Arabidopsis thaliana: one gene and its partner. The protein of the gene in region 2 interacts with the protein of the main gene of each other region in a pairwise test. Each region holds a gene or a part of one and is shown on either strand. Other genes may lie near its edges.

Evidence for each region. Proteins that work in one complex are often made in the same cells at the same time.
Region 1: the proteins of CPK15 (region 2) and ABCG8 interact in a protein complementation assay, tested with the Arabidopsis thaliana proteins (one large-scale study listed by BioGRID).

Annotation. Positions count from the first base shown.
Region 1 is NC_003076.8:21,419,054-21,423,568, reverse strand, and holds ABCG8 (ABC-2 type transporter family protein), read left to right. Parts: upstream 1-1,853; 5' UTR 1,854-2,023; coding exon 2,024-3,793; 3' UTR 3,794-3,979; downstream 3,980-4,515.
Region 2 is NC_003075.7:11,639,249-11,644,314, forward strand, and holds CPK15 (calcium-dependent protein kinase 15), read left to right. Parts: upstream 1-1,553; 5' UTR 1,554-1,598; coding exon 1,599-2,367; intron 2,368-2,728; coding exon 2,729-2,872; intron 2,873-2,957; coding exon 2,958-3,110; intron 3,111-3,208; coding exon 3,209-3,321; intron 3,322-3,402; coding exon 3,403-3,570; intron 3,571-3,652; coding exon 3,653-3,780; coding exon of another isoform or gene 3,781-3,784; exon of another isoform or gene 3,785-3,862; coding exon 3,863-3,962; intron 3,963-4,049; coding exon 4,050-4,130; coding exon of another isoform or gene 4,131-4,139; exon of another isoform or gene 4,140-4,209; coding exon 4,210-4,239; 3' UTR 4,240-4,514; downstream 4,515-5,066. Other genes in the region: AT4G21926 (uncharacterized protein), read right to left, coding at 468-517, 667-722; AT4G21930 (senescence regulator (Protein of unknown function, DUF584)), read left to right, coding at 645-1,196.

The DNA.
Region 1 (4,515 bases), on a different chromosome or scaffold from region 2:
TTAGACTTGAACAGCTTAAGTTATATTACCTCCTAATTATAAGACGAGTTTATATGCCGTGGGATGCTTCCGAAGTAGTAATAGTGATGAGCATAAAACAAACTCAACGCGTGCAATGGATCAGTCTCATAACATTCTGTGCAGAATCATAATACAAGATCCGCTCGAAACTCAAAAAACAAAATAACACATTCACTTCTCTTTGGAGTTTTTCTTTTCTTTTTCTTTTGTCTAAACAATAATCATGATCACTATCATGTCAATTAATACAGAAATAAATAATCAACACTATCAATATCATGTCGAGAACAACCACCTCACAAGGAAGCAAAGAGCAATCGACGCCGGAGAACCATACACGTGGCCATGTTTAAAAGTCCCACATGAGGAAGAATACGTTGCACTTTCAAAACGACACCGTTTTCTACTACATAGAAGTATAGAACAAAAAGGAACTTCTTGTTCTTGACAAAAAAAAAAAAAAGGAACTTCTTGTTTAGTTTCATAAGACTTTTCAAGTAGATTTGGTTGTCCCCTCTTCTTAGATTTTCTTTAGATGCTAACGTAGGACACATGTCTCCGACCAATTTAGCTTAATAATGTTTTCAAGTTTATTTGTCCGACGAAAAAAATGATCTGTCTGTTTATGTATGTACACAATGTCCTAATCATCGCAAATTGTATTATAGATTACCTGTATTTAGCCATATATTTGTTCGAAAGTTATAATTAATTAACGAACATGGTAGTTTAAGTTGAGGTTCTTTTACATTACTCGAGGTCTCTATATACTAATCATGGGATTTTGAATGCATTGCATGTGACTGTTTGTGATTAAGGGCATATTACTATATCTTATTTATAGACTTATTTGAAATAAGAAGAATTGGAGTAATTCATACTTCGGCAAAAATATTTAACAAACAAGAAACAAATTTCATTATGAAAATGTAACTAATGTGGAACAAAATCCAAGGAAATTGGAATTTGCAAGTGGAAATGAATCATCATTCATAAACAAAATGAATCATCATTTAAATGGTTCACTTGAGGTGCCATCTGAGCTAAGATGGTAGAGTAAGAGCTAATTTGAGATCTTTGTGGAGAGAAGCGAGAGAAATTGATGTGTGAGAGAGAACACGATTAATGGACTTAGTTTTGGATCAATATTTGGAAAAATGTCAAAAAGAATTGTGAATTTTTAAATTTGGACGAAAAAATGAACTTGTGAAATGTCATTTAAATTACGAAATTTTGTTTGGTTTTTGAATAAAATGGTCAAATTTTGTTGACTAGGCCATTTTGGTCTGCTAACAGAAAAATAACGACATGCCCTGACCATTTTTTTCAGAAATCAAATAAAATTTTGTGATTTAAATAACATTTCACAAGTTTATGTTTTTTTCGTCCTAAATTTAAAAGTTCGTGATTTCTTTTGACATTTTTTCCAATCGATATTGGACAATGTTTTAGTTTGAGAATGGGAACATTATCTACAAGACTACAATTCCATTTTATTATTATCTCAATAAGTGGCTTTGTCTATCCAATTTGGTTCTCGTTTATTTATTTACAGGGCTACATATGAGTTTCATAAAGCCCGTAATGTATAGGCCTATGTAAATTTTCAAGCCCATAAGCTACATTCTCTATTTTTTATTTTGTCGTAAATTAGATCGAAAATTATAAAAACATTACGATTTTTTTTTTGTTTAGAGATTGTATTCGAATTCGAAGGTGATGTATATGTGGAGAAAAAAAAGAAAAATAATATTTATTTGAGAGATTTTTGACCCAAAACTCTACCGATATACACATATACATTTCGAAGGTTAAAACAATATACTGCAAAAATCCAAAAAATCTTAGTGAAAGAAAACAACCCAAAAATGTAAAATTAGGTTTTTGGCTTACAACATTTACATCATCACAAGACCAAATAAAAACTTAATTATATAAATCTCATTCACTACACTCTTCAACGTCTTAAACTCTTACAAGTTAGAACTTAGAACCATTCTCTATGGAAATACCTCCATCACCTCCGCCGGAGACGGCGGCCTACACATTAACCACCTCTTCAATCTCCTACACCATACCAAAAACCTCTCTCTCCCTCCTCCGCTTCCCGGCGACTGAGCCACCCTCCTTTATCCTCCGCAACATCACTCTCACCGCTCATCCAACCGAGATCCTCGCCGTCGTTGGCCCTTCCGGCGCCGGAAAATCAACTCTCCTTGACATTCTCGCCTCTAAAACCTCCCCAACTTCCGGTTCAATCCTCCTTAACTCCATTCCCATTAACCCTTCCTCTTATCGAAAAATCTCCTCTTACGTTCCCCAACATGACTCTTTCTTCCCTCTCCTCACCGTCTCCGAGACCTTCTCCTTCGCTGCTTGTCTCTTGCTCCCAAACCCATCAATAGTTTCTGAAACCGTAACCTCTCTTCTATCAGAGCTTAACCTAACACATCTTTCCCACACAAGACTCGCTCAAGGCTTATCCGGTGGCGAAAGAAGAAGAGTCTCGATAGGGTTAAGCCTCCTTCACGACCCTTGCTTTCTTCTCCTCGATGAACCCACTTCGGGTTTAGACAGTAAATCCGCTTTTGACGTCATTCACATCCTCAAATCCATCGCTGTGTCAAGACAACGGACCGTGATATTGTCCATTCACCAGCCTAGCTTCAAGATTCTGTCTATCATCGATCGGTTGTTACTTCTTTCAAAAGGAACTGTTGTGTACCACGGAAGACTTGACTCCCTCGAAGGTTTCTTGCTCTTCAAGGGATTTACCGTCCCTCCGCAGCTCAATTCCCTTGAATATGCAATGGAAATACTTCAAGAACTACGAGAATCCGACGGAAACACCGATGCTACTGCTCTCCCTTCAATCGAAAACCGGAAACAGAGAGAAAAACAGAGTATTGTTCGATATAGAAAATCAAGAATCACCGAGATAAGCCTTCTCGCGAGAAGATTCTGGAAGATCATTTACCGGACAAGGCAACTACTTCTAACCAATGCATTAGAAGCCCTTGTAGTTGGTCTTGTCCTAGGAACTATCTACATCAACATCGGAATCGGCAAAGCAGGAATTGAGAAAAGATTCGGTATGTTCGCCTTCACGCTCACTTTTCTCCTCTCTTCAACAACCGAAACCCTCCCGATCTTCATCAACGAGCGTCCAATTCTTCTCAGGGAGACTTCGAGTGGTATTTACAGACTCTCCTCTCACATTCTCGCAAATACACTCGTATTCTTGCCGTACTTGTTCGTTATCTCAATCATTTACTCTGTTTCGGTCTATTTCCTCATTGGTCTCTGCCCCACATGGCAAGCTTTTGGGTACTTCGTTCTCGTGATATGGATCATTCTCCTAATGGCGAACTCTTTTGTTCTCTTCTTGAGCTCTCTTGCCCCAAATTACATTACGGGAACCTCTCTTGTGACAATTCTTCTAGCGGCTTTCTTCTTGTTTTCCGGTTACTTCATTTCCAAGGAAAGTCTTCCCAAGTACTGGCTTTTCATGTACTTCTTCTCAATGTATAAGTATGCATTGGATGCACTTCTGATAAACGAGTACTCGTGCTTAGCCTCCAAGTGTTTGGTCTGGTTGGAGGAAGCTCAAACAAAGATCTGCATGGTTACTGGAGGTGACGTGTTGAAGAAGAAAGGACTTCATGAGAAACAGAGGTGGTTTAATGTTTATGTTTTGTTAGGGTTTTTCGTACTTTATCGTGTGTTGTGTTTTCTTGCTCTCCTTAGAAGAGTTTCTGGTTCAAAGAGGTAAGTTTTTTTTTTTTTTACATTTGTTTCTCACACTGATCAATCTATGTTAACTTAACAAAATATCTCCGGATCGATCATTGATGTGTTGGAACTGTTATAAAGTCTTTCGTAGACATTCGAATTCGGGATCAATTATTCAACTTATATATTCCTTTCTTTCTTTTTCACGTTTCAATGTTAACTAGGTGTTTGCTATGTAGAGACATGTCACTTTCGAAAAATGAGAGGTTAAATTCAACGTTTTGTAGACCTAGCCTGTCGATTGCACTATTTTTCAAAATAGTTTATAAGAAAAATCTTGACATCTAGTTTCACTCAGTTATGTATGTACATCACATTATGGACCCATAAAAGTTAAAACTTTGCTATAGAAAGGGGAAAAACGTCAATAATATGATGTGGACACGATTACTTCTCTCTCTATCACAAGAAACCGGAATAAGTACCATCAGTCCATAGATTGATCCACCAACACTTGTTTAAATATAATTCTAATGACTGTATTTATATGGATATTGAATATTATGGGCTAGTTAGTTACTCGTTTATAAACTAAGTAACCAAAAGAAATAGTATATAGAGCACTCAAATCAAATCATTTTGAACTCAGGCTAAGATTTAGGTGGGGACAAGGTAGACACATAGATGGCATAGAAGAGTCGCTTTGGTTAACTTGTAGCTTGGAGACAAACCTTGGTCTTCACGGGTCTCCATCTTCTTCTC
Region 2 (5,066 bases):
GGCTAAGCTTAACGACTATTGTACATACTAGGACGTGCACAAATCTCTAAATGGTACCATGATTTTAGTTATACTTCAATACTGTGAATGAGGGTTTTAAATGACAAGAATATCAGAAGTTTCACGGACTATATGGATTAATATAGATTTGATATAAAATTCCTTACTTATCAAAATTAATCATCGTGTGTCTCACAAATCTATATTGAAGCTACTGTAGAAATGTTGTTAGAATGCATGATGGTACGTCGGCAAGTAAGACATCACATTGTATATGATTGAAATTACTTTTAGAATGGGAAAAAATAAGTCTGAAGTTACTAGCTCTCGTCTAAAATGCTGAAAGAAATACAAAATAGTAGTGCGTCGTTATCTAAATGGTTCTTTTACGTGGACTATGACATCTTCTTCTGATCTTACCGAACATAACTGAGTAAAACCACACACAAAAAGCAATACCTATTCACCTTTAGTGTATATATATTCACACACACACATGCTCATCCTCATCCCCCACCTTCACTTCCAAATATATTTTGAAAAACCCAACGAAAAAGTATTAATTTTGATAACTAGGTGAATAAACGTAATTTACGATTTAAATCACAGCGGGTATACAATTTTCTTAGGTAACCAAGAGAGATATGGGCAAAGGTCGGAGCTTACCGATTAGTCGAAGCGAGAGGTTTCTTGGGAGCCATCAGCAGTCCGATGACCATCATGTGGACGGAGAAACTACCTTTGAGCTGGAGCTCATGGAAGAGGATGTCTGGTCGGTGGTCGAGCCTGACGAACCAAAGGAACTAGGTGCGTGGAACGCACGCTCTCTCGAGGCCAGTGGCAGTGAATGGAGACGGAAGGGAGGACGCGTGAGTGACCTGACCGTTCCGAGTGATGGACAGAGGAAGAGACACGTGGCGACTTCTGCGCCGGTGAAAGTTCCTGACTGGAGCAAGATCCTAAAGGTGGAGTCCGTCAAGTCAATGCATAATAATAATAACGATAATGATAATGCTGACGTGGCGGATTGTGATTGGGAGAGTGCGATGGTACCGCCTCATGAATACGTGGCCGCGCGTAGCCGTAACGGTGACGGTGGTTCGTCCGTGTTTTTGGGCGTGGGAAGAACGTTAAAAGGACGTGACATGAGACGGGTCAGAGACGCCGTGTGGAGCCAAACCGGGTTTTATGGTTAATTTTACGTAATTAATTTGATCATTAATATTTGATTGTAGTATATGATTTGTCCATAGAGTTGAAGTAATTAATTAAGCACTATACAATAACTAGTGTAATCATCATTTATTTAAAATCACTCGTCTATTCTACATGTAATTTAACATTGATCAACCAAATTCAATATCAAAAAAATTAATTCAACGGTCTTTCTCTTAAACTCTAGCTTTGATTAGAATAATCAAGAATTTAAGATAGCTGAAAATGGAATATTTCCGTGTAAAAATTAAATTAAAACCGTTAATGTCGGCGGGACATAAATGGTAATAAAAAAAAACTCGTGAGAAAACATAAATTTCCCAATCGGACTTACTTCTCCTCTAACCGAGAACACAAGAAATTCTATTAAAAAAAACCTAAAAATGGGTTGCTTTAGCAGCAAACACCGAAACACAGAGAGTGATATCATCAATGGCAGCGTACAGAGCTCAATTCCGACAAATCAACCTGAAAACCATGTCTCTCGTGATGTTCTCAAGCCTCAGAAACCTCCTTCTCCTCAAATTCCGACAACAACCCAATCAAATCATCATCACCAACAAGAATCCAAACCCGTTAATCAGCAAATCGAAAAGAAGCACGTTCTAACACAACCATTGAAACCAATCGTTTTTAGAGAAACAGAGACAATTCTAGGCAAACCCTTTGAAGAAATAAGGAAACTTTACACGTTAGGTAAAGAATTAGGTCGAGGCCAATTTGGTATAACCTACACTTGCAAAGAGAATTCAACAGGCAACACATACGCTTGCAAATCAATACTCAAGAGGAAACTAACGAGAAAGCAAGACATAGATGATGTGAAGAGAGAGATTCAGATAATGCAGTATTTGTCTGGACAAGAGAACATTGTTGAGATCAAAGGTGCTTATGAAGATAGACAATCGATACATTTGGTGATGGAGTTGTGTGGTGGTAGTGAATTGTTCGATAGGATTATAGCTCAAGGACATTACTCTGAGAAAGCAGCTGCTGGTGTTATTAGATCGGTTTTGAATGTTGTTCAGATTTGTCATTTCATGGGAGTGATTCATCGTGATCTCAAGCCTGAGAATTTTCTGCTCGCTAGTACTGATGAGAATGCTATGCTTAAAGCTACTGATTTTGGATTGTCTGTGTTCATTGAAGAAGGTGAGTTTGTGTGATCATATCTCTTGTTCTGCTTTTTAGTATATATATGCGAATGTTTTAGATATCTTAAGATTCTGATGAATGTTGGAGTTATATTGTGGATATAGATTTTGTTAAGAATAGTCTGTATCTTAAGAATCTTGTTTCATTTAGTGATTTAGTAGATAGTGGTAAGCTTGAAATCAGAGGTTTTGCTAGTTTTGTGTGAACTTGAGAATGTGTGTCAATGGATTATTATAGAACTTGTGTGTTCTTTTCCTTTCCTTATTGTCAAATTATGTCAGTTTAGTTAGTTAGTTGATGATCTTGTGTTCATATGCTTAATGTGTTTTGTTTCTAAACCGTAAAACAAAAATTGCAGGGAAAGTTTATAGGGATATAGTAGGAAGTGCTTACTATGTTGCTCCTGAAGTATTAAGAAGAAGTTATGGAAAAGAAATCGATATTTGGAGTGCAGGGATTATTCTATACATCTTGCTTTGTGGTGTGCCTCCTTTTTGGTCTGGTAATAAAATCTGACCAATTCTTTGATTTGGTTTATCCTTTTAATTATGTTGTTTATTTGTGTTGTTGTTGTGGTTACATTGTAGAAACTGAGAAGGGGATATTTAATGAGATTATAAAGGGAGAAATTGATTTTGATAGCCAACCATGGCCTTCTATATCTGAGAGTGCTAAAGATCTTGTGAGGAAGTTGCTTACTAAGGACCCTAAGCAACGAATCTCAGCGGCACAAGCTCTTGGTAAAGTCACATTGGTCTCTCTAAGTGCGGTTTTGTAGTTGACGTACTTTTCAGTGCTTTACTAATCTGTAGTGATCCTTGTGGTGTTGTTTTTTCAGAACATCCTTGGATCAGAGGAGGAGAAGCACCGGACAAGCCTATTGATAGTGCTGTTTTATCTCGGATGAAGCAATTCCGAGCAATGAATAAGCTTAAAAAGCTAGCTCTAAAGGTAAAAACAAATTTCTATCTAGAAGTAGCATTTTCTTCTATATTCCCTGATCATTGGTTCTGTTTCTGATCTGTTTTGCAGGTTATTGCAGAGAGTCTCTCGGAAGAGGAAATTAAAGGTCTTAAAACCATGTTTGCGAATATGGATACTGACAAAAGCGGCACAATCACTTATGAAGAACTGAAAAACGGGCTAGCTAAACTTGGCTCTAAACTCACTGAAGCTGAAGTGAAGCAACTCATGGAAGCCGTAAGTATTGCCATCCTATTTGCTCTGCTTCTTATGTTACTTATTATTCTAACAAAAGACTTTTATTTTATATATGTTTCAGGCTGATGTAGATGGTAATGGAACAATTGACTACATCGAATTTATCTCAGCAACGATGCATAGATACAGATTTGATCGAGATGAACACGTATTCAAAGCCTTCCAATACTTCGACAAAGACAACAGCGGGTAAGTTTAGTCCCTTGAGGAACAAGGTAAATATAGACTTGACGCTACTTTAAGAAACAAATTTGGATTTTTCTTAACACAGGTTTATCACAATGGATGAGTTGGAGTCAGCCATGAAAGAGTATGGTATGGGAGATGAAGCTAGCATCAAAGAAGTCATAGCGGAAGTCGATACAGATAACGTAAGTTTTGTTTTCCCTCTACACAGCATCAAAAAGGTTATGAACAAGTCTTAAGCCAAGATTGAGATTAATGGGTCTCTTTTGCAGGATGGAAGAATAAACTATGAAGAATTTTGTGCGATGATGAGAAGTGGTATCACACTGCCACAACAAGGGAAAATTCTTCCAGTCCAATGACTGATAGATAAATCGAGAAGCCTTGATAGAGGAACTTAAAAATTAATTAGATATCCAACATTTTTTACAGCCGTGCAAAAGAGTTGCTGACTTAAACTAGATACTAGTTGTGTTGTCCAATAAAAACAAGTGGCCTTTAATTTCTTTCTCTTATCTGATATGTCTTGTCCAAAGTTTTGGTTACTTTAGAGTACCAGCAAATTACTTTCGGAGTTATACATGTGTGCCCAATAAAGAAGTTGTAGTATAGTAGTAACATCATGTTATATCTCATACTTTCATCACTTGGAAAATATTTCAGAGATGTAGATTATATACATATATAAATGTATGTATAAAGAGAAAAGTGGGTTTTAAGAAAAAGAATTCACCTTCTGGATCCAAATGAATTGTGATACCGTGATCCCCATAAGCCTCCCAAAAAAAATTCTTTCGGCAATTTATTAACAACGTAACCGTCGATTCTCACATTCCCAAGGTGTCCCTCTTTGGGGAAAACTAAAGAGATTTCGTCATGTTTCAACCAAAACTCGCTAACTGCATGAAGTTTTTTGGTCGGTTGGAATTTTGGCTCCATGTTTATATGATCTAAGTGGGCAAAAGACCAAACTACTCATGTGTGATCATATTTTCCTAGTCTATTTATAACTTTTTGAACCATACTTTACGTTATACAAAACCCTAGTACTTATGGAAAGTTATAAAAAAAAAAATCTATTGAAAATAAGAAAATGCTCATATACACATAAGGTTAACTGTTCGATTTACATAAAATTTATAGATACTAAACCCTAAATTCACAAAGTATCTCATCCGCTGCGGACGAAACCATGTCCTATGATCCGGTCGAAGAATATTCAAGTAAGATCTTTCTCTCTTTGTCGAAATTGTTTGTCTATGATCTCGATTAGCTTTCATCTGATCGAT